3 linked regions of the Diceros bicornis minor genome follow. The protein of the gene in region 1 interacts with the protein of each later gene in a pairwise test. Links are inferred from orthologs where the notes say so. Each region holds a gene or a part of one and is shown in the gene's direction. Other genes may lie near its edges. The genes, in order: PIAS1, SMAD4 and MX1.

Region 1 (6,902 bases):
AAAATCCTTAGGAATGTGGGAGGCAAAGGAATCCAGGTCACTGGTGGAGGGACTGACCTTCACAGGCACAAGGACACTTCATTCATAGTAACTCAAATGTTACTACGCCAATAAGAGTAGTTTTGACGGTGAGAAGATAAGGGAGTTCATGTTATCTGTTATCTTTTAATTTTTTCCATGAGATATGAGGCAAAGTTGAGGAGCAAAAAGTGGGGTTGGAGAGGAGATAGGAGGCTTTTAGTAGAGAGGAAAAGGTGTCAAATAATTCTTTCATCACGTCTACTTAAATGTCAATTTAGAGGCGAAAGCTCTCTCAGGATTAAGTACATCTCCTCCCAGCCCCTTTTTCTCTCACTGGACGGTTCATGCTTTTCAGGTACTCATCATCCTTTGTAACTGTATCTTTATAGGTTCGCGTGTCTGTTCCCCCATTACAGAACTACAGGAGGGCAAGGACTTGGTTGTATTTAGTTTCCCAGTGTATATATAGCCCTTAGAAACAGGGCCGGTACAAAGTCACTAAATAATTACTTGAAACAAAGAAATTAATGAATGAAAGTTTTCAGAATTTTGTCTTAGGCCACTCGTGTTAAGTACTTGCTTGTGCAAGTCACTTTTCCTCTCTGAGCTTTATTCCTGAATATATACCACGGGAACAGTAGTCTCTTCCCTGCCTACCTCACCGCGTTGTCATGAGGAGGATCTGAGCTAATAAACCTGGAAATACTTCATCAAGTGATTCTTAAATGTAACTGATTGTTATTTTTAGCCCACGTGTAGCCTCGCAGGTAGCAGGTGCTGAAAAGGACTTGCTGATTGGGGGAGGGCGTATTATTGTTCCCTGTGCCTGCGGAGGGGCGGGGCTCAGGCCAGCAGCCCTCCCGCTCCGGCCTTTCCCTGGAGGCGCTAGCCGGGCGAGGATGGGGGGCGGGGAGGCCTAGGAGGGAGTAACTGTCAAATCTCTCCGCTTGGCGCCATTATTTAAATAGTACGTGTCCGTGTCGCAGCTGTACGTGCCCAGGGCGGGGCTCCGAGCGCCCGGAGCGAGGCGGAGGCCGGGGGCGGGCCGAGGAGGCGGAGGGGCGAGAGGGGACGGGCCGGGGCGGGGCCAGGCTGGCTAGAGGGGCGGGTCTAGCGGCGGCCCCCGGCGAGGTTCACTGCGCTTGCGCTGACAGACGCAAGATGGCGGACAGTGCGGAACTAAAGGTAAAGCGCAGCTCGAATTCACTTCTAATATTCGGCCGCGGAGACGGCGCCGCTGGTGCCGAGGGGGATGGGTCCGACCCTGGGGGGCCGCTCGGGCTTGACTCCATCCAGGCCTGGAGTTGTAGGGCGGAGCGGCGCGCCCGGCCCCAGCTGAGGGGGCCCGGCAGCGGCGGGCCGCGGGCCCCGGGTGCCTCGGGGGCGCTGACGGGTCGTCCCCGGCGTGTTATTGTTGTGGGCGCCTCTGGCGGGGGAGGCGGGGGAAGAGATCGCCAGTGGGGAGGTGGGGGCCGCGGCCGCCCCCGGGTCTCGGCGTGCTCACCTTCTAGGCAGCCTCCCCGCCCCCCCATGGGGAGCGGGGGCTAGGGCAGGGTGTTCGTGTCGGGGGGATTGGGAAAGCTCCCCGCCGCCGCTTCCTCTTCCTCCTTTGCAGTCCCGGGCTCCTGTCAGGCGCTCGGCTCAGACCCCCGGGAACTTGGCTCCGGCCGCCCCGCCCCTCCGTGGCTCCCTGCGGCCCCCGCCCCGGACTCGGCTCTCCCCGGCTGCCTGCCTGTCAGGAGGCGCCCGGGGTGCCCCGCTTGTGCGCAGCGCGATCCTGGGGCGATGGGGTGGGGATGTGAAGAGAAGCTCCGGGAAAGTTTAGTGAGCCTCGGGCCGGCGTTGGGGTTCGGCTGAGGGGTAGCGGGGGGGTGTGCCTGGGCGGGACGTTACTATTTCTCTCTGATTCTTGGTAAGCGGGGGGTAGAAACCCCCTCGAAGGGTGTGTGTTGGGAAGCAGTGGTGGGTGGTGGGAAGCACCTACCTCTCTCCTCTTTTCCTTCTCTTCCTTTGGCTGGTGCGGAGGGTAAGAGGAGCCTGTCGGGGTCTCTGCACACACCATGATGGCGATGCTGTAGCTGATGGAGGTGAATGGTTCGTGTTTATATCCCCCCGTTGCCTTTTGTTTGTGGGGACATCTTGCTGGCCATGTTGATTTGAACGAAATTCTCCCGTCATCCTACTTCAACCCCCAATAAATAGAACGTTCCTCCGTTCCTCTCAACTGTGCCAATTACTCACGCCTCGCGAAATTGGATGAAAGGGTGCCCCCTTTTCCCCGCTCATCCTCCCGCCCCAATCTTCTTTACCTGATGATGGCTTCTTTACCGAGGCAGATATAGCACTACACAAGCAGTTGGGGGAGGAGGGTGGAACCCTTGTGATTGGATTGTGACAAATGGGGCTCCGCTTGAATAATTTTGGTTTAGTAGCAAGCAGTTTTTAACTAACGCGTATTATTTCGAGGCTCTGAATGCGATATTCCCTACTCTGTGGCTTCCTGTGTGTGATCCAAGCAGCTGGTTGTGTCCTGACCCAGAGAACTGACATCTCTGTCAGAGTGGAGATTGGGATATACAGTTGTAAATCTTCGGGGAGAGTCCTCTTTTTATAATTAATAAAAATTGTGTAAAAAATTTTCTCCGTTATAATGAAGCGACAACTTCTAGAATAACCAAACGCCAGGTTTGTTTCTGGAGAGTTTTTCTGTGGAAAGCGTCGCTGAAAGATCGTTTTCCCCCAGTAATTTTGCAATTTTAACACTCCACAATTTGTATATTAAGGCGCTGGCTTTGAGTGTCGTTCTTTTTAAATTTACTGCTAATTACAAATAAATTTAAGGGAGAGCAGATTTAGGATGGTTGGTTTCGTTTTTTCCTGTTTCAAACTAGTGACCGAAGTGAAAAAGCCTCAAGAATTTGAATATTGGCAGGTAATTAACTCTTGAAATAAAAAAGTCCACAACTTTAAGATACATGTTTTCTATAGTTTTATTCTTGAAATGTAGTCCCTATGTGGCTGTAATCTTTGCCTTCTAATATTTATTTTGTTAGGCATCCTTTTGAATGATAGGTAATCAGTTCTGTTATACGGGGACCACAGAGTAAAGCTGAAAAGCTTGTGCTGGCTATATTGTCACTCTTGATGCTGTCCAAAGAAACTGATGTGGAAAGCACATGCTGGGAGATTTCTTCCTTTGTTCTTTCTCATTTTAAGAAAGTGCCTTTAGGGATAGATCAGATCCCTGGTGTGAGTCTTGTTAGGTAAAGTTTCTGTTTGCTAAAATGAGCCTGTATCAGATAAACGCTAAGAACTTGGGGGAAAGATTATTTTTCTAAAATTGGTCTCCTTTTTTGCTCTTTCCAAAATCTACTTGAGTTTTTCCAGAGGAGTTGTTTTCTACTTTTATGTTCCTGTTGTACATTTTTTTCAAATTATAATAACTGTTTTGACATTCAGGTCTGTCATTGTGTGTGCCCAGTACTTTGAGGAGGTGTGATAAATTGCTTAGCTGGTGATAGCTGTGTTAAAATTTTTGTTAATACTTGATTGTGGTTAGATTTGCTGTTCTTTTTTTTGGAGTGGGGAGATCATCTTAGGAACCCCTACCTTAGTTATTTGAGAATGTGTGTATATAATTTTCTGTGCAGTAAGCTTTGGAAGATACTGCTTTTGGAAATTGTATTTTCTGGTGGTTTTTTGTTTGTGGTTTTTGGAGGTAAATAGCATTTATTCCTAATAAGGTAGGAAAAGAGTAAGAATTAAGAAAAACCCAGATTTTTTTAAAGTTTTAGGTGAAAATACGGTACTTCCAATGAATTTCCAACTATGAGGCTTTGAATAAATACATTGACTTTTTTGGTATCTTAATTCACAACCCATGTTTCATTTTGCTGTGGATTGTATTCATAATTATTTTCCTCATGGTCCATTTTTGAGTCCTTGTAAATCTATAACAAATCTGCAAAGATCAGATGGGAAAATGGATAGATCTGTATCCCCTGTAGTATTAGTGCAAGCTGCAACACTTAAAGATATTGCCAATAAAAATTAGATTAAGAGTCATGCATATCAAAAAGAGTTCTCGGTGTATATTTGTTTATATACCCATAAATGACATTTGTAAGAATGTAGAGAGTGAACTTTTTGTTATGTTTAGGAATTTAAAAGCAGGAGGGTGTGATGACCAGATGATCTTGGAAGTTAATAATCTGACAGCTTCATGTAGCTCCTCTTAAAGTACTTTTTTAAAAAAAAATCACAAATGTTTTTTGCTTTAAAACTCAAAGCAAGTTGTATTGCCATTTTAACTCACAGGAGGAAGAGTGGGAAGGAAGAAGTTCTTCATTTCAGTGGAGCAAATAATGGATTTCAATGGGAAGAGAAACCGCTTAAAAGTATAGTTTTAAAAGTATCTATAAGCGTGTCAGTAAATTCTGTTGTCATATTCTGCCTCTTTATTTTCAAGAAATAGCCACTTAATTTTGCTCTTTGTGGTGTCATTGTTTGCTTTTATTTCAGATAGAAGCAAGTAAATCTGACAATTTATTCACAAATTTGATTTGAATCTCCATAACTTGCTTTTGTCAAGTGCCACATTTAGATGGCTTTTGTTTTAAGTCACCATTCTTATGAACAGTATTTGAAAACATTGTATAAAACACAGTTTTTAAGCATTTCATATAATTGTTTGGAAATTCCGCCTTTTCCTCCGCCGTTTTCTCTGGCTGATTGTATTGTCTTTCTCTTCAAAGAGTCTCTTGTAATCCCTGTTGATTGCGGTAGTGCTGAGTGGTGAGGCCATAGCTGATTAACCTTGGGTTTCTCCTGGTGAACTCCATCAGCATGCTGCTCCAGGGTTCTTGCTGAGAGTTTTGAGTTTAGTGTAATTTGTGCCCTTTCTTGCTGGTAACTAGGGATAAGAAAATAAAATGGCTCGTGGTTGTAGGGGGAACTGAGAGGAAGTATCTCAAGTTTCTGAAAAACTGGGTGTTTATGATGAATGTAGCCTTTAAAAACAAACAAAACTCCTGATTACTTCATAGGATTGATTGTAGTGTTTTCTGAAGTATTCTGTGGCATTAAGCACCTTGTTATTTCTTTTTTTAATATTTGAGTAATATTTATACAGTACTTGACAGTTCATAGTCTATCACATTATCTCATTTGGTCTTCCTAACAGTTCTTTGAGGTATAAAAGGCAGGTAATATCTCCCTTTTTATCCATGCAGTGAGCCCAGAAAGGGTAAGTGACTTGTCCAAGGTCATATAAATAAAAGTGGCAGAGACTTAAACCTAGGTCTTGTGATTTCAAAACTTTGTACTGTAGGCTGCCTTAAAGGTGCCCTGTCAGTCCTGGAGCTCTCTAGGGTGCCTTGCTCACAAAGAATTCTAGTTATGTTGTTGCTAATACTTTCCCTCTTGCTCTATGCCAGGGTATTTTTGGATATTCCTTGGGCTTTTTGCAAGGAAGATTTTGGAGTTTGTTAGTTGGAATCATAGACATTAATTCATGCAAATATAATTTTGCTTGGGAAGATTTCAGAGAATACTGAGAAGTAAGCAGAAAAATAAACAGCACCTGTAATCCCAGCATTTAGAAATCTCATGGTTAACATCTGGGTGTCTGTCCATTTAGACTGTCTCTCTGTGAGCATCTCTCTGTGAGCATACGTGTATGTATGTTCATCACAAAAAGGGATCATACTACTCTTTATTTGTAATCTGCTATTTTCTTGGCTGCCTTTCCAGGTAGTAAATATAGGTCTATATGATCATTTGAAAGGTAACATTGTATTTTATTCAACTAGTCTCTTGTCATTGAACAACTAGATGATTTCCACTTTTTTGCTATTTTAAACAGTTTCTTGACAAACAGCCTGATACAAAAGTTAGCAAATGTTTTATTCTAACTAAATATATTGATATGACAGAACTTTTTTTGTGCTTCAGAGAGCAATACAAATGGTATTTTGATTACATGAAGTGTTGTGAGTGAAATAAGTTAATTCTTTATTTCTTCATTGTCTATACCTTTATTGTTTCAGTTTCTATAAACCTGTCAGATAAGATTATTGAATTATGGCAGAGATAGAGTTTATAAAATGTAAGTAAACATTGCTTCTGAATCAGAACATTTGATAAAGTATGAAATATATTATAGAATAACATGTATAATTTATATTGAGTATGTTTGATTTTGGAAATTATAACACAGTAACAAATATTGCAAGTTTATGTGCTCATCTGTTTTTAATTAGCGTTAAGAAAAAAGCATTGCTGAATGTTAATATGAAGAAAGTGGATATGAGAATTTGCCTTACTCAGATTTTTAATCTCAAAGCAAAGTGTTGCCATAGTATTTGGTAGGTAACATTGTTTCGAGGAGGCTTTTATAGAATGGAGGTTACATAGGCAATGAAAACATTCTTCTATTTCAAGAAGGAAGCTTTATGGATTAAATCAATTAATAAATGCATATGTGAATTGAGTTAAGGATATTATTTGTGCAGCATCTGAAAAGTACTGCACTGTAGAAGGAACAGTTGATGAAATTAAGGGTGTGACATTGACATGTTAAATTTGGTCCTCACCTACACTTGCATTTATGGAACAAATTGTATCATTAGGATTTTTTTTTTTTTTAGAACACAGTTTGTATATTTATTTATTGTCTTTTTTTTTTTTTTTTTTGGAGAAAGATTGTTGCTGAGCTAATGTCTGTGCCAGTCTTCCTCTATTTTGTATATGGGTTGCCACCGTAGCATGGCTTGACGAATGGTGTAGGTCCACGCCCAGGATTCAAACTGGTGAACCCTGGGCTACCGAAGCAGAGCATGCAGACTTAACCGCTATGCCACCGGGCTGGCCCCATTAGGATT
Region 2 (8,005 bases), on another chromosome or scaffold:
AGAGCCATCAACGAAAGTAAAAGGGAAAGAAAGCTTTCAAAGCCTTTGCCTGCTAAGGTCAGAGATGGTTGTGAGAATTGAGATGTTTCTCCTGGAGAAGTCTCAGGAAAAGTGGTAGCTTAGCTCCACTGAAGTGCTCTGGGACTGTGGTCTTTAACACTTCTTGCTTGCTTACCTCCTAAAGAAATTTTAGAAACTATGTTTCTTCTTGTACTTTTAACGGTCAGATCTAAAATGTTTCATCTTAAATTTAAATGATGACAAAGTTTGTTATTTCTGGCATATTATAAGTATTGGAATTTTAAAATAAGATTGTTACATCATTCTTTAAGTGTATCCAAGGGAATGTAAATATCATAATGCATCTACCATCCATTTAAAAGATACATGAACAAGCTTTTCTTTAAAAGAAATTTTACATCACTCTTTTTCTACTTATCTTGTATTTCCTTTCAACTTGCCCCTGGAACATTTTAATGTAAGATTTTAGACTGGAAAGTCTTTTATCAATCAGCCTATCATATTTCCCTATAAAAATTTTTAAAAAATCTTTTGACTGAGTTTCTAAGTTTAAAAAACTCATCTTGATTTTATCATCGATACAATTTTGAATACCTCATTGATCTAAACAACATAAGATATTACAAATTTTGATAAACTATTAAAATTAAAGTGTAGAATATTTTTGCCAGAATGAAATAAGATTAAGAATCAATTCTAGGGGGCCGGCCCCGTGGCTTAGCGGTTAAGTGTGTGCGCTCCACTGCAGGCGGCCCGGGTTCGGATCCCGGGCGCGCATCGACGCACCGCTTCTCTGGCCATGCTGAGGCCGTGTCCCACATACAGCAACTAGAAGGATGTGCAGCTATGATATACAACTATCTACTGGGGCTTTGGGGGGGGGGGAATAAATAAATAATAATAATAAAAAAGAGACCGTGGGAGACCCTCTCAGCTGAAGACCTAAAATATGCCAAAGATATAACATTGTGTGTGTTGTTATGATTCTATTACATATGTATGTAGTCTTACATACACATCATATTTGGAGTGTTTTTGAACTTTATATAAATTGTATCAGATGGTATGTATTCTGCTGCTGCAGAATGGGAGGAGAACTAGAGACAAAAAGTATAGAAAACTCGTTTGGAAGTTTTGTTGCAAACGAAGCAGAGAAATGGGGCAGTGGCTGACAGTGGAATTGGGTCAAAAAGAAGATTTTTGTAGGATTGGAGAAATAATAGCTGCTTATAAGCTTATGGGAATCACCCAGTAGAGAGGGAAACACTGATAGTATAGAAGAGGGGAGATAATTGCTGGAGTGATGCTGATGATCTTGATTAGGCAAGATGAGATTGGGATCTATTGCCTTAGCAGAGGGACTGGCTTTAGCTAGGAGCATGGAAAATTCAACTATGTAACGGAGGGGAAGGTGAAGAAGAGGATTCTGTGGAAGTTTTTGTCTCATTGCTTCAATTTTCTCAATGAAATAGAAAGCAAGGTTATTAACTGAAAATGAGGATAAGAGGGAAGGAGGTGTAGGTTAGAAGACAGAGAAGGTATGAAATCCAGAAGAATGGAGGAGGGAAGTAGGATTCCTGGGCAGCACTAAGGGCTCACTTGAGGTTCACAGTGATAAAATTAAAGTGAAACTAGTCAGTGTAATTGTGTTTTTCTCTAGCCACATTCAGATGCAGCGGTACTGGCGTGGAGTAGGTGGAGAGCTGGCTTGAATCAGAATTGTGGTTTTGTCCAGCAAGCACAACAAAGAGGGAGGGGAGTAAGCAGACTGAGGGTATGTGCAAGAGAATGATTGTAATGATTGGCCAGGGGTTTAAGCTGAGTTAAGGATGGGAGAGAGCGGATACGTAGGTTGAAGAATTGCTGGAGTCAGAGTACTACAAGGAAATATGGAAATATGAGGTGGTGTTCACCATGTGAGATGTTTGACATTGTGATTATAATGAAGTTGCCAAGTTTGATAAGGCTCCTGTAATTATGCCCATGAGAGTGAGTGGCTGAGTTAGGGTAGGACAAGATCTTTGGAGGAGAAGTCAAGGAACTGAGAGGTCAGGGTATTGGGAAGATCATCTAAGTATATATTATAAGCACCTAGAATTAAGACAGAAGTGGTATTGGAGTGACTGATAGGAGCAAACAGTGAAAAAATGAAGGGGAATGAGAGCAACGATGAGGATTACTGGATAACAAGATTTAAAGCTGCAGGTTAGGGGCCGGCCTGGTGGCATAGTGGTTAAGTTCATGTGCTCCGCTTTGGTGGCTCGGGGATCGCAGGTTCGGGTTCTGGGCACGAACTACACACTGCTCATCAAGCCATGCTGTGGCGGCATCCCACATACAAAATAGAGGAAGATGGGCACAGATGTTAGCTCAGAGCCAGTCTTCCTCACACACAAACACACAAAGCTGCAGGTTAAAAGGAAGGGGAGAGGAGGATGGTCTGGAAGCAATGTCAAGGAGCAAGGAGGACACCTACCCCACCTCCAGGCACAGTTGAAGAGGCTTATGGTTGAAAACATAGCTGCCACTACTTGAAAGGGGGAAAGGGAAGCAGTGTCCCGGGGAAAGTCACGTTTTCCTTAAGCAAGAAGGTGAAGGGAAACTGAAGAGAAATTCTGAGGGAGTTGAGTTTAAAGGGATTTTCATTTGCATAAATAAATACATGGTGTGGTGGACACACTCTAATGTAGCTCCATATTATTCCTGCCTCCTGGTGTTCATGCCCTTGTGTGGTGTCCTTCCTTTGAGCGGGGGTGGGACTTGTGATTTGCTTCTGGCCAAGAGTATGGCAAAGGTGACAGGATGTATGTGATTACATGTACGTGCTTATGTTACATAAGACTGTAACTAGGGTCTTGCACTGAGGCTCTCCCCCTTGCTGGCTTTGAAGAAGCAAGCTGCCATATTGTAAGCTTCCCTATGGAGAGGGCCACATGTCAACGAACTGAGGGGGACTCCAGCCGACAGCCAGCAAGGGATTAGGGCCCTCAGTCCTGCAGTCTGCAGGGAACTGAATGCTGCCAACAACCATGTGAGCTTGGAAGTGGATCCTTTCCCAGTCAAGTTTCACTCTGTGATCTTGCAGAGGACCCAGCTAAGCCATGCCTAGACTCCTGACCCATAGAAACTGTGAGCCAATAAATGTGTGTTGTTTTAAGCTGTTAAATTTGTGGTAATATTGTTATATACAACAGATTAATACAGATGGGAATGGAAGAAGTTTAGTTATAGCAGTGTTACTTAATTCTTATAACTCCTTCTGGGGTATATGGCCTAAGAATCACATGTTGATCTATTATCAAATCACCTGGTTAGATCTTCTTTCAATTTTTTTTTTTTATAATTTTATTTATTTATTTTTCCCCCAAAGCCCCAGTAGATAGTTGTATGTCATAGCTACACATCCTTCTAGTTGCTGTATGTGGGACGCGGCCTCAGCATGGCTGGACAAGCGGTGCGTCAGTGCACGCCCGGGGTTCTGAACCCGGGCTGCCAGTAGCAGAGCGCGCGCACTTAACCGCTAAGCCACGGGGCTGGCCCTCAATTTTGTTGATAGCAAAGAACTGGAAACCAGCTGACTTGCAAAAGAACTTATAACTCATTCATTTGGGTCATTCACTTTCTCAGCACAGACACCAATTTTTGAATTGTCCCTTTGAATTGCCGTGGAGGTTTTTACATCTTGGGTCGATACACCTTAGTAATGGGTGTGAGTGTTGACTTTTTTTGTAAGGTGGGAGAAGGACAGTTTTGAAAGAGAATGCTGTGTCCTCAGGTGCTTTCCCAAGCTGAGCAATTTTAGAAAATAGTACATATAGCGGTGGAAGATCTGGAAATGAATTCCCTTAAAACTAGTTTTGGAAGGTCTTCATGAACCCCAGGGGTAAGGGAACATAAGTGAATATGATAGTTTAGAGGCTTTCTGGTAGAAGGGGGAAGAGCCCAGGCTATGATGGTGAGGGCAGCATGGGGCTAGGGGGCGGGGCACTGTGTGTGAAAAGTAGGAGGGGGACTAGAGAGTTTCTGGGCTACAAGACTTAAGAAATGACTTTAGAACTTTCCAATAATTAGTCTTGGTGAGATCTCCAACGGAACTATATCCTGATTGGTGAAAAATAATATATAACTAGTACATGTTTTCTGAAACTTTTTAAATGTAAAAGAAATGCATGCATCTTGTAAAGTTTTCAAAGAAAAGAAGTATAAAGTCAAAAGCACAGTTTATGCCTTTCCTTACCCAACAGGTAACCTAGTTAACAGGTGTGTAGTAGGTCCTCGAAGGTCCCTTCAACTCTGAGGTTCCGCCTAAATCTCTTCCAACAAGAACCACTCACTTTTCCTAAGATCTGGCCAAGCTCTCAAATGTGTGATTCCTTGACTCTACTGTGCACGTCTTTAACCCAAAAGAGGGAGTCTCTTTAGTGTAGATACTTTTGGATCTAGTGATCCAGGGCTAGTGGAAAGGGAAGGATGGTGCGGTGATCGCCAGTTTCTTCCCAAAGTACACCGCTACAGCACCGTCTCCCCAGGGCTAGCGGTTAAAGTCTAATACTTAAGCCCACGCAGGTCCTCAAAAAACAAGACCCGCCTGATCGCTATTTATAAACACTTACTGGATGCCACTATACGCCGAGCTCTCCAGCGATGCTTGGGCACTTTGCACTTTTTTGGAGAGGGATGCCAATTTCTCTGATGACCACTCCCTGCAAACAACCCCCCCCCCCCCCCCGCACCATTGCGCGGCAGCGCGCTCAGCCAGGGCCTCAGCCCAGGCTAGGACTCCGGGCAGCCCGCCGACTGGTGGTGCCCCGCAGGCGCCTGCGCAGAGCTATCCACCCGTCACTAGGGGCGGGAGGCGGGGGCAGCCGGGAGAAAGGAAAGCTGCGGGGAAAAAGGGCCAAACCCTGAAATTACCCGGATGTGGTCTCCGCGCGCGCATGCTCAGTGTCCTTTCGACAAGTTGGCAGCAACAACACGGCCCTGGTCGTCGTCGCCGCTGCGGTAACGGAGCGGCTCGGGTGGCGGAGCCCGCGTTCGCGCCCGCCCGCTCTCCTCGGGAGGCCCTTCCCGCCCTCCCCTCGGCTCCGCGGCCGTCCAGGGGGCGGGAGCGGGTGAGGGGAGCCGGGCGCCCCGCGAGAGAGGCCCCCCGCCGCGGGGCGGCCCGGGAGCTCGAGGCGGCCCGGCCCGCGCGGGCAGCGGCGCGGCCCCGAGGAGGGGCGGCCTGGCCCGGACGCCTCGGGGCGGGGGCCGAGGAGCGCTCCGGGCCGCCGGCGGAGCGACGGGCCCGGCGCCCCGCGGACGAGCCGCGGCGGGAGAGCGGACTCCCCTCGCCATCGCCCGAGCCCAGGTAACTCGCCATGTCCCCTCCCCTTCCCCCGGCGGGCCCGCGCACCCCACCCGCGGCTTCCCCGCCCCGGGGCGGGCTCCCGGCGGCGGGGAGCGCGCGGGAGGCCGGCGGGTCCGCCCGGAGAGCGAGCGCGGCCGCCTGACGAGCCGGGCCGGCGGGTCGCGCTGGGCCGCGGTGCCTCGCGTCCCGCGGGCTCGGGGCCGGCCCTCGGGCCCCGAACTCCCCTCGCAGTTTGTCGCAGAATCAAGTTGAACTGGGACGGGGACTCCCGCTGCGGCCGCCGCTCCTCTTTGTTGTTCTGGAGTAGTTTCCCCGTCCTCCCGGCCGAGCGCGGCGGGGCGGCTGGAGCGTATTGCCTTAGGTCTAGAGGAAAGTTATAGATGGTTGGTCTTGATTTCTTTTCTCAAGCAAATTTTTGTTTTCTCTTTGTCCCTTACTTTCTCTTCCTGGTTGTGTCATTCCCGTGTATGTTTCTGGCTTTGATTTGTTTACTTACATTTTGAGTATTGTGGGTGATGGCAGTATGCAGGAAACATTCTTAGCACCTAACTGACCACCCCCCACCCCGCCCCTAATAAAAAAGAGAAGACATAGTTTATCTTATTGCTAGGACTACAAGTACTGAGTGAGATTGGTGTAGGGTGGAGGGCGGTGGCTCCATCACATTCCCCAAACTGCTGTTATGGTTTCTCAAGCTAGATTTTCAAAGAAATGGGTGTGTTTTGTTAACTTGAAAGATTTCTTTGCGGGTATAGAGAGGTTTTAAACAACCCTATTGAAAATTGGTAGCTAGTTTCCCCCTGAAAAGCCAAGTAAAATTTTTTTAAATGAATATATTTCTAATTAATTTATTTTGAGTTTAGTTTTATAATGCCTTTAGCTGTTGCACCATAGTTTTAGGTGAAACTACCAGTTATTTAGGAATAATACATATAAGGTAATGGGGAATCATTTTAATTAGTCTGTATTGACTTTCTGAAGGCATGTAATCTTGGCCAATTTTTGTTGGCAAACAACTTGACAAACTTTGACTTTTGCCAGAATTAGCATCCTTTTAGTGTCAGTAGCCATTTGATTATTCGGGTGTTTCAAAAGCAGGTTCAGTACTTTTTGCTGGAAGAAGGCATTTAGTGTTAATAGAAAATACAGAAATGCTTATTTTCATAAAGTAATTAGGTTTAGAACGTTGCATTTGAATAATTTTAATTGCAGATTTCATAAATTGCTTTTACCGTGTTGTACTGAGACTGTATTTCAGTTGAAATGTAGCGTGGGAAGTTCTAACGTGTGTAACTTTTTTTTTTTCCTGCTAAGGATTTATTTTCTCTTTTGGAAAGTTCTAATATGGTTAGTACATGATATTTCAAGTTGTAAATGATTGATATAATTAACATTTTAAAATCTGATTTCTTATTAATGTTTCTTCTATAACGTCGTCATGATTTTGTTTTTTTAAGTGGGTTTGTTATAGCACAAATGTAATACAGGCAGGCCAAGGATTTAAGATTTGGAGTATCTTTAGGTCTAAAGGTGGTGATGAATTATGTAGGTTTAAGTTGTTGGAATTAAAACTAAAAGCCTTTCTAGAGAAAATTGATATAACATTTTGTGAGTCTATTAATAGAAGTGGCTTTTTCTTTGCTTTCCAGGTTTTTGGGTGAGGTTACTTTAAAGAGGTATTGCATCTTAATTTTTTTTGTTTTTGAAGTGGGACTGCCTAAGTAGAAATTTCTCTGTTTAGCTAAGTGCCTTCCTTGTAAACCTTGAGCTTAGAAAACAACTGCAATTAGTTTCAGATTTAATGAAAATTTGTGCTGAGAAAGTCACTTAGAAATTTTTGGGAATAAGTTATATGTGGACCATGGACCTTTTCTGATGGCTTTGCTTCTTGAAGCAATTCTGCTTATCCTGGGAAGCAGCAAGTCTTATTTCTAAAAACCAGCGCTTCACTTTCTTAAGCTACATTTTAGTTGAGCTGTTTCTCCATTTGTGTGAATTCTTTTTCTTCGTTGCCCTTCAGATTTTTTTTTCTCTCAAATTAAAGAGCAAGTATTAAAAACTAGTTTATGCTGCCCAGTCACACTCCAGCTCTCCAGTTTGGAAGCTGTTTTTTCTGATTGAGCCAGTGTTATAGTAACATCATTAGACACTATTCTAATTGAGCTGTGAATTGCTGAGGCCTCTACTGGGGCAGTTAACCCTACAGGATCTGTCTCATGCATTACATATAAAATGCATATTTAGTCTTATCTAAAATTTTGCCTATTCTGGTGAAGCATACTTTATTTTTCTTATGTTTAAACTTTACTTATTTCAGTTCTATTTTATCCGCCTCTAGCTCATGCCTAACTTTTTTTCATTTTTCTTTCAGTGATTTTAGAGTGAATGGTTCTTTAAACATCTTATGTTAGCACCATTTCAGTGCTCATTGTACATGTTTGGATTTCCTTTTTTGTTTTTTTCCTAGAAGATTGTGTAGTTAGAAATTTTTGTTTTGCTTAAGTGATGATTAACGGTGACTCTGAGGTGTTGCTTAATCATGTATAAAACCAACCTGACTAAAACTATTTTATGGATTTCATTATTTTCTACACTAAATGAATGTTAAAGAAGTTAGATAAGCATAGCACAGAATTT
Region 3 (8,070 bases), on another chromosome or scaffold:
CCCTATCCTAGAAAAATGATTTTGCAATGGCCACCGACCTTCCCCAGTGACTGCGCCGGGTTTGGCGACGTGTACACCAGGCCAGGGCCCAGAGCCAACAGCTCAGCTCCACCAGACTTTCAGTATCTGTCCCCTGGAGGCACGGCTCTCAGCTGGACCCTGGCCTTGACCTAGAGGACTAGATAAATAGCAACCTGCAGGCGCCAGGCTCTCACGCTTGAATTGCAAACGAATCACTTGGAGAATCCTCTTAAAAACGCAGATTGAGTCCTGCATTTGGGATGGTCTTGGGATGGCCCCAGACCCCACATTGCTAACCAGCTCCCAGGTGAAGCCAATGCTGTTGGTCCGGGGACCACCCTTTGAGAAGCACGAGTCTATGTCACAAGCACAGCGGAGAAAACGAAACGGGGCAAACGACCTCGGACCCTAGACTCCCGCTCCGGCGGGACAGACGGCGCGCTGCCCCGACCCTTGGCCTGGACGGCGTCAGACGTGGACACGTTACCCCGCGGGTTCCGGGGCTGCCCCGCAGTCCCGCGTGCCCCCCTCCCCCACCCCAAAGGGCAAAACTGCGTCCAGGCTCCGCCCCACGTCCAAGTGGCAGGGCACACCAAGAGCCTCCCCCGGCCTCTGCCAGCTCCTCCCGGCACCTGCTCCTCCGGGCCCCGCCCCTCACCGGCCCCTCCTCCTCTTAGCACCGCCCCTCTTGGCTCCGCCCCCTCCCCTCGGCACTGCCCCCTCCTCCTCCGGGTGCCCCCTTCTCCTCCCCCAGGCCTGGATTCAAGAACCGAGAATCGCGCCGCCTGACTTTCGTTTTTTGCGAGCTGAGGCGGAGAAAAGAAACCGAAACCAAACCTGCCTTGACTGGGAAACGCGACATCCGGAGGAGAGGCGGGGAGGAGATAATGAAGGAAACTGAGTGGCTTAGGGTCACTCTCCAGAGGTCACCGGAGGACCACGTCTGCAAGAGCCGAGCCAGTCCTCCGACTCATCATTCATTCACTCATTCATTCATTCTAGAAACATTTATTGAAACACTGTATACCAGGAACTGTGCTGGATCTCAAGTACAACAGCAAACACCACGGACCTGGTCCCGCCCAGCTGACAGCCTGGTGGCAGAACGGGTGTTCACAGAGGCCAAGACAGTGTGATGCGGCCATGGTCCGTGGGCGGGGCGGGGAGCGTGGGGCTCCCAGGAAGCAGGTCCACTAGGCCTGGAGAAGGACGGAGGGAGGCCGTGTTATGGGAAGAAGCCCGGCCCGCACTTGTAGGAGGACGAGCAGCCCTGAGCTGGGGGAAGTTCGGGTAGTGTGGAGGGTGTTACATCCAAGCCATGGGGGTGGGGAGAGGTGAGGCTGGGCACACGCAGGCCCTGCACACCAAGCTGAGCAGTTTGGAATACTCCGCCCCTCCCACCCCTGCCGGTGGGGTGCCCTGCAGCACTGAATTGGGGTGCTGTCCACTTCACACAGTGTTTAAGCAAGTGCACTTGTTTGGAGGTAGGCATGTGTCTTGACATGAGTACAGCCATGTTGGGCCGCTCCATTGACCTACAGCCACCAGCACAAAAAGAAATATAAAAGCTGCTTTCTGCGTGGTGGGAACTGGCCCTTCTCCCACGGAGAGAGTTGCAAGTTGTAACATTTCAAGGCTCTTGGAGCATTGTAGCACGGGATGGACTGGCCATCTGTGCCGGGCTAAGACGACAACCAAAAGAACAATGCACGTACACAATTACTGGGCTGGGACGTTAGCCAAGGGGCTCAGTGCACGTACGCCACTGATAACCATTTGTGCATGGGAACACTAGATGCTTGCTCTGCAAACTCTGTAACTGCTTATATAAACTGCTGGAGACTGAGACCCGGTGAGAGTTCCACCTGTGGAAGGGACGCCTTGCCCAGGACGTGTGATCCTTGCCCAGCCGTGTCGATTGACAGGACTCTCCCGGCAGTGAGGCGTGGATGTTGTGAGTAATTGATTTACTGTGAAGTAATTGATCTGATGTGTTCTCTTTCCCGTCAACCTGGTGTTTCTCTTTCCGGTTGATTTGTGTCATTTCCCTTCAGTTGATCTGGTGTTTCCCTTTCCGATCCATCTGATGTTTTTCCCTCTTATTATATGACCTATTCGGATCTGCTGCTATCTCAGCCGATGTGGATGTTTTCCCTTTCCAGTTGAGCTGGTGTTTTTTCCCTCTTATTATTTGACCTATTTGGATTTGTTTGTGGACTATCGCCTTTACTATCCTCTATATAATAAAATATACCTTCAGTCCAATTGTTTGGAGTGGAAAGTTTCTTTTACGTCTCCGATTGAATCCCCGAACCTCTCATAACAGCATGGATGCCTGGAAGCTTGCCAGGCATGGCTTTCCATCAACACCAGCTCAGCTCTTCTGGCAAGTCTGGGCCAGGCCAGGCAGGTGTGAGATGGCTGGACAAAGACCAGGAGACCTGGAGAGCCCTGGGCACCCATGACTGCACAGGCAGCAGGGGTTGGGGTCAGTGGGATTGTCTGGCCACTAATATGCATCCGTGTGGATGCTGTGTTTTTATCAGATACGTTTTGATGGAGATAGGAACACTAGTAAGTGGACAGGGCTGGGCCGGGCCGTGATGGGAGCCCCAGGGGCCGAGGTGGCTGGGCACATCAGTCCAGTTAAATTCAGCCCACGGTTACTGAGCACCTGCTGTCGGTAGGTGGTAGGCACCGGAGGGATACAAACTTGATGAGACCTCAGCCTGCCTTCGTGGAGTTGACACCTTCATCAAGGAGGTGGCCACATCCCCCAGTATCCAGAACATCCACCTGAGATCCAGAGCATCTTAGCCAGAGCTAAGGCGATGGGGGGCCGGAAGAGACAGGACCCAGGTTTGGAAGGAGCTCCCAGGGGCAGCTGTACAGACAGAGAACATCCCCGTTAGCACTTGGCAGAGGAGGCAAATGTGTCCGGAAGCCTGGGGGAGGACAGGCCAGCAGAGGTGTTGGCTGCGTTCAGGGATGGTGAGTGGGGATGCTGAGCCTGGAGGACAGTCCTCAAGAGCTAAGAGTTTGAAACTTATTTCGTAGAATATAGAGTAATCAATATTTCTTGAGGAGAGAAGGAATCGTCAGCAATTCAGATGGGAGGCTATGAGCTTCCTGACAGGAACCGCATCTTGTCAATTTTAGTGTGGGGAGAAGATGCTACAGAGCACAGGCTCAGGGATCAAAACCTATATCTGCCATCTTAGCTATCCCACTTCCTAGTTACGGGACCCAGCAATAAGCTAACTCCTTAGCCTCAGTCTCCTCGTGCGTAAAGTGCAAGTGATAATCTTACCCCCTCACAGGGTGGTTGTGAAGGCGAGTTATTCTCTCAAGCTGGCACCTAACACATACTATTACCCAGTGCACATGAGCTATTATTGTTTTATTACTGAATCACACCACAGACAAGCCCCTGGGCTCTTTAGGGAACTGCCATACAACTTGCAAAGTAGAAACAATGAGCTACCAAAAGTCTCAGGCTGGGAGGTGAGAGGGGTAGCCTTGTGAAGTGTCGGGGGCACCAAATTTAAGGGCACTTACGCCTACAGAGAGTGCCCGGCTCCTCCACTCTGGCCCCACAGCCACCTCGCTCACCTTGCCCTCATCCTGGCCCTGGCACAGGCTGTGGCCACGCCTTGTTTTCACTTTTGCCCATGGCTCTGTCTGAATTCATTCCTGAACATGCGTCACTGGGGAGAGCCTCCTGTGGTCTGAAGAGGCAGGATCATTCCACAGAGTTGAGTATTAGGGCCACGCATGCCTTGCTCACAGCTCCCCCTGCATTTCAGGGGCACTTCTACTCCTTCAGAAAGCTCTAACCCCTCCTGCTCACAGCCCACCAGGAAAAGATGTCACTCTTCCTCCTAACTGCAAGTACCTGAAGCCCAGAGGAGTGAGTAGCCGACAAAGGTTTCTCTCTAATTCCTGGGAGAGCCTGTGTCCTCCCACCAGGCCACCCTGGATGGGATCACCCAGACCCCAGCAATGGACTCTGCAGAGCCAGGTGACTTCGGGCCAGGCAGGGAGTTGGCTGTGGGGCCTCCTCCTCGTCTCTTGGTGCAGCCATATTGAATTTGGTTCCCCCCAGGCTTTCCCTGACTCTAGAACTTGGAGCTGGGGCAGGTTCCAGGCCTTTGAGTGGGGTGGGGGCTTGTCTTCAGGGACTCTGAGTTGAGCTAAGGAGAATGGAGGTGGGGTACCAGGCCCTTCCAAAGGGAAGTGTTATTCCCCATGCACAGAGTCCCCACAGGGAGGGCTGCTCTTGTGTCTGCGTGACTTCAGGCCCCCACCTTCCACCCATTTCCATCCTGGAGAAATCAGATGAGCCAACCTCCAGGGAGGGCTTGAAATGGACAAGGAGAATTGGGAAGGAGGATGATGTGGGTCAGCTTGGGGAGGGGGAGGGAGGGGGGAGCTGCTATTAACATAGAATGCTTGAGAATCCCTGCTGGTGCCCCAATGACCCCAGTGAACCTCCAGCAGGAATTTAAGACACCCAATTATCAGTGCATCTGTTCAGAAGGCCAGGGGTTAAGGGACCCGCTAGGGTCAACGCTACGTTCAGCTTTGGATGACTCGAAGCTGTTAGAGCAACGATTCTCAAACTGCCCCCAGAATCGTCAGAAGGGCCTGATAAAACTCAGGTTGCTGGGCCCTGAGTCCGAGTTTCTGGTTCAGCAGGTGTGCTGGGGAGGGGTGGGGGGTGGGGGGCGAGAATCTGCATTTCCCTCAAGCTCCCAGGGATGCGGATGCTGCTGGTGGGGATCGCACACGTGGAGCGCCTCGGGGAGGCTGCAGCTGGGCGCGGGGCGCAGGGGCGAGCAGCGGTTCGGTTTCGTTTCTGCGGCCGGTTGCCCCACCGGCCCTTCCGCTCTCCCGCCCTCGCGTCCCCTGAGTTTCGCTTCCCCGCGGCCGGGGGCGGGCGGCGCCGCGCGGTATAAAGCAGAGGAGCGGCGGGCGTCCGGCGCTCATCGCTGCGCGGGGACAGGTGAGTGTCGCGCTCCTGGGTCTGCGCACTCTCCAGCCGGCCAGCGGGGCTCCGAGAGGGGCGTTTGGGCGGCTGGCTGCGGAGACCAGCGCTCCGGGGTGTGGGCATTGCAGGGGCTAGTATTAGGTAATAATTAATAATAATAGTAACAATAACAATAATAATAATAATAATGGCGATGTCGGCTGGGCTCAGAGCACGCTTGATTCTACTTGCAAGGTTCTTGAGTGACTCATCAAAAACAGCCCCCCAGACCTACGGCTTTTCTGCTTGAGGAAGTGGCACGGTGGAGGGGATGGGGGCCCTGGGGGTCTCTGAGGGAGCCGGTTAAGGGGGGGCGCACAAAGTTTCGCATCCACTGCTGCGTGGCCTCCGAGCCCACCCCAGACGCCGACTATCGCTTGACGTCATTTTATATTTTCTGCTAGGGAGGCAAACCAGACAAGTCAACAGTCGGGGGAGGGGGGTCCTTGGAAGTGCAGAGACAAGGGGTCTTCACCGAACCTGCTAAATACAGGCAGGTCCAAGTGAACGGTCCCGCCTGGCGAGGACGTTCTGGGTACCACAGTCGCGCAGACGGGAGGAGGGGCTGGTGGGAGAGACGAGGCATGCGTGTTGCACCCCTCTCTCTTCCGGCCGGAAGGGGAAATACTCAGCGACTTCCCCCTAGCTTGTGCGCTTGGGTGCCACTGAGTGGGCCGGACACACATAGTTTGGGGGGATGGAGAGAGGTAGGACAGTCCTGGGGACTGACAGAAGGAACCCAGGCACTGCTGAGATTTGTGCTCCCCACCGCTGGTGGCCTCTGAGTTGTGCACGTGGGATTCTCGGAATTATTTGGTCAAATTTTAAATCAAGTTGGTGGAAGCAGGGTCAAGTGATGCTAACCTCCAGTTATCAGTCCCCAACAACTCCTAAAATGTCTAACCGTGTCCTCTTTCTATTTTGGAACAGACCTGCTGGCAGGGAGTCCCCCAGCCTTTCCATGTGGACGTGCGCCCCATTTTCTTCCTGACTTCCCTTCTCCCTGCCTCCTGACACTCAGTGTGTTTTGGTAGCGAGCATTAGGTCTAAAGTACAAGATGTTTTCCCTTTTAATCGTAAAAAACTTAAATGTCACTGGGCTTTTGGAAGGCAAAACACTTTCAGGAGAAAAAGCAAATCTAAATCCTTCAAGGATTATTCTTAAAACTAGACTGAATTATGTTGGACAAATTACAGACTCTATGAATCAGACATTCTCTAGGATGTGCTTGTAGGTGATCCCAGGGTTAGGGGTTGTGCTTGTAGGGGTTGGGGGGCGCTAAATCCCCCCTCCCATCCCTGCTCTTCTATGCCGTCTGGGCTGAGGAAGCTTTCCCACAAGGATGGAAACCCATTGGGCAGCAGTTTGATGTCAGCCACACCCCCCACTGCAAGGATTCTCCAGTGACACTGCTAATAGACGGCATCCAGTTCTGGAAGCCACAGGCAAACTACTACTCCCTAAAATCTGGAGTGGAGGAGGCAGCCAGCCAGCCACCTCTACGGACAGTGAGAACTTGAGGGGACACAGACCTGCCCTGGGCAAGAATGGGAAGAGCCCCTGCACCTGGGCAGTTTCTCCCCTCCCTACCCCAACCTTAGGAGTGAGAGAAGAGCCCGGTACAGTAACCCCACCCATGACCGATGGGGGTGTGCAATAGTCAGGAAGATGAGGGCTGGAAAGGAGAGAGATTTAAGGTGGTGTGCCCACCTCGAATTTCCCTGCAGTCTTGTCTGCAAACGCAGGTACGGGTGAGACATTTTGTGAGCAGTTTGAGGCTGAGAGCTCATAGTCACCGCTGCTTGACTGTACCACGGCCAACACTGGGCCAACATATTCTATCAGCATGACAACTGCAGCTGGATGCTGAGTACAATGAACAAGTAAGAAACTGGTTTTAGTGGCTGAGATTGCCCTGTTCCTGAAATCCAAACTGATTTTCAAAGATGATCCAAGAAAGGTACAAACATTTAAGATGTACAGAAAACCAACAAGTTTTGCTTTTAGGGGATGTCATTTTACAAAACAAACAAAGGAAGGGAATACATTCACAAAGTCTTGTTTTGACTCATCTTGAACCCCTGGTCATGGGGGTGCAAGCCTTGGAGACCAGTGATGCTACCTGGCTGGGTGCAGTAAGGCCAACTGACACAGCTGTGGTCTTCAACTCGGGGCCCCCGCCTGGGACCCCCTGGGCACATGAGTCTTTCCAAAGGCATGAGGGGGGTTAGGACATAAATTTCCAGATTGCCAAATTCTGTAAATACTCTTTTAAATTGATCACCTTTCAAAATCACCTTTCTCCCATTTTATGAAGAAAGGAATGCATCCCTCTCTCCCTTTTGTTTTTGTTTGTTTGTTTTTCAAGAGTGCTGTTATCTGAGTTTTGTAGCTGTAAAGTCATCTGTTACTGCGCCTCCTGACTGTTCCTATCAGGGTAGATGGCTTGTGTTTTTGATTCTAGCTCATCTTGGCAACGGTTGTCTTCCAAGGGAGCTCCATATGTGAGCTCCGGAGTCTGGAAGTGTCCCTCTGGGGTGACTCAACTTTTGCCTTTCCTCAACCCTTTAGAATTCACAGATTCCAAACCATGTTTTTTTTTTTTTTTAAGCCCATTTCTTTTTTTATTGATGTCTTAATATTTTATAACCTCGTGAAATTTTAGTTGTACATTATTGTTTGTCAGTCACCATATAAATGCCTCACTTCTCCCGTTGTGCCCACCCACCAACCACCTTGCCCCTGGTAACCACCAAACAGTTCTCTCTGTCTGTGTGTTAGTGTATCTTCCACATATGAGTGAAATCATGTGGTGTTTGTCTTTCTCTGTCTGGCTTATTTCGCTTAACATAATACCCTCCAGGTCCATCCATGTTGTTGCAAATGGGACGATTTTGTCTTTTTTTAGGGCTGAGTAGTATTCCATTGTGTATATATACCACATCTTCTTTATCCGTTCATCAGATGAGGGACACTTGGGTTACTTCCACTTCTTGGCTATAGTACACAATGCTGCAAT

Evidence for each region.
Region 2: the proteins of PIAS1 (region 1) and SMAD4 interact in a two-hybrid assay, tested with the Homo sapiens proteins (2 studies listed by BioGRID and IntAct). The link is inferred for Diceros bicornis minor from reciprocal best matches to the Homo sapiens genes PIAS1 and SMAD4.
Region 3: the proteins of PIAS1 (region 1) and MX1 interact in a two-hybrid assay, tested with the Homo sapiens proteins (2 studies listed by BioGRID). The link is inferred for Diceros bicornis minor from reciprocal best matches to the Homo sapiens genes PIAS1 and MX1.

The regions. Positions count from the first base shown.
Region 1 is NC_080744.1:61,954,380-61,961,281, forward strand, and holds the start of PIAS1 (E3 SUMO-protein ligase PIAS1), read left to right. Parts: upstream 1-3,886; 5' UTR 3,887-4,385; coding exon 4,386-4,418; intron 4,419-6,902. UniProt on the Homo sapiens protein: Functions as an E3-type small ubiquitin-like modifier (SUMO) ligase, stabilizing the interaction between UBE2I and the substrate, and as a SUMO-tethering factor. Catalyzes sumoylation of various proteins, such as CEBPB, MRE11, MTA1, PTK2 and PML.
Region 2 is NC_080755.1:43,330,694-43,338,698, forward strand, and holds the start of SMAD4 (mothers against decapentaplegic homolog 4), read left to right. Parts: upstream 1-4,975; 5' UTR 4,976-5,368; intron 5,369-8,005. UniProt on the Homo sapiens protein: In muscle physiology, plays a central role in the balance between atrophy and hypertrophy. When recruited by MSTN, promotes atrophy response via phosphorylated SMAD2/4.
Region 3 is NC_080766.1:41,174,708-41,182,777, forward strand, and holds the start of MX1 (interferon-induced GTP-binding protein Mx1), read left to right. Parts: upstream 1-4,977; 5' UTR 4,978-5,026; intron 5,027-5,584; exon of another isoform or gene 5,585-6,934; intron 6,935-8,070.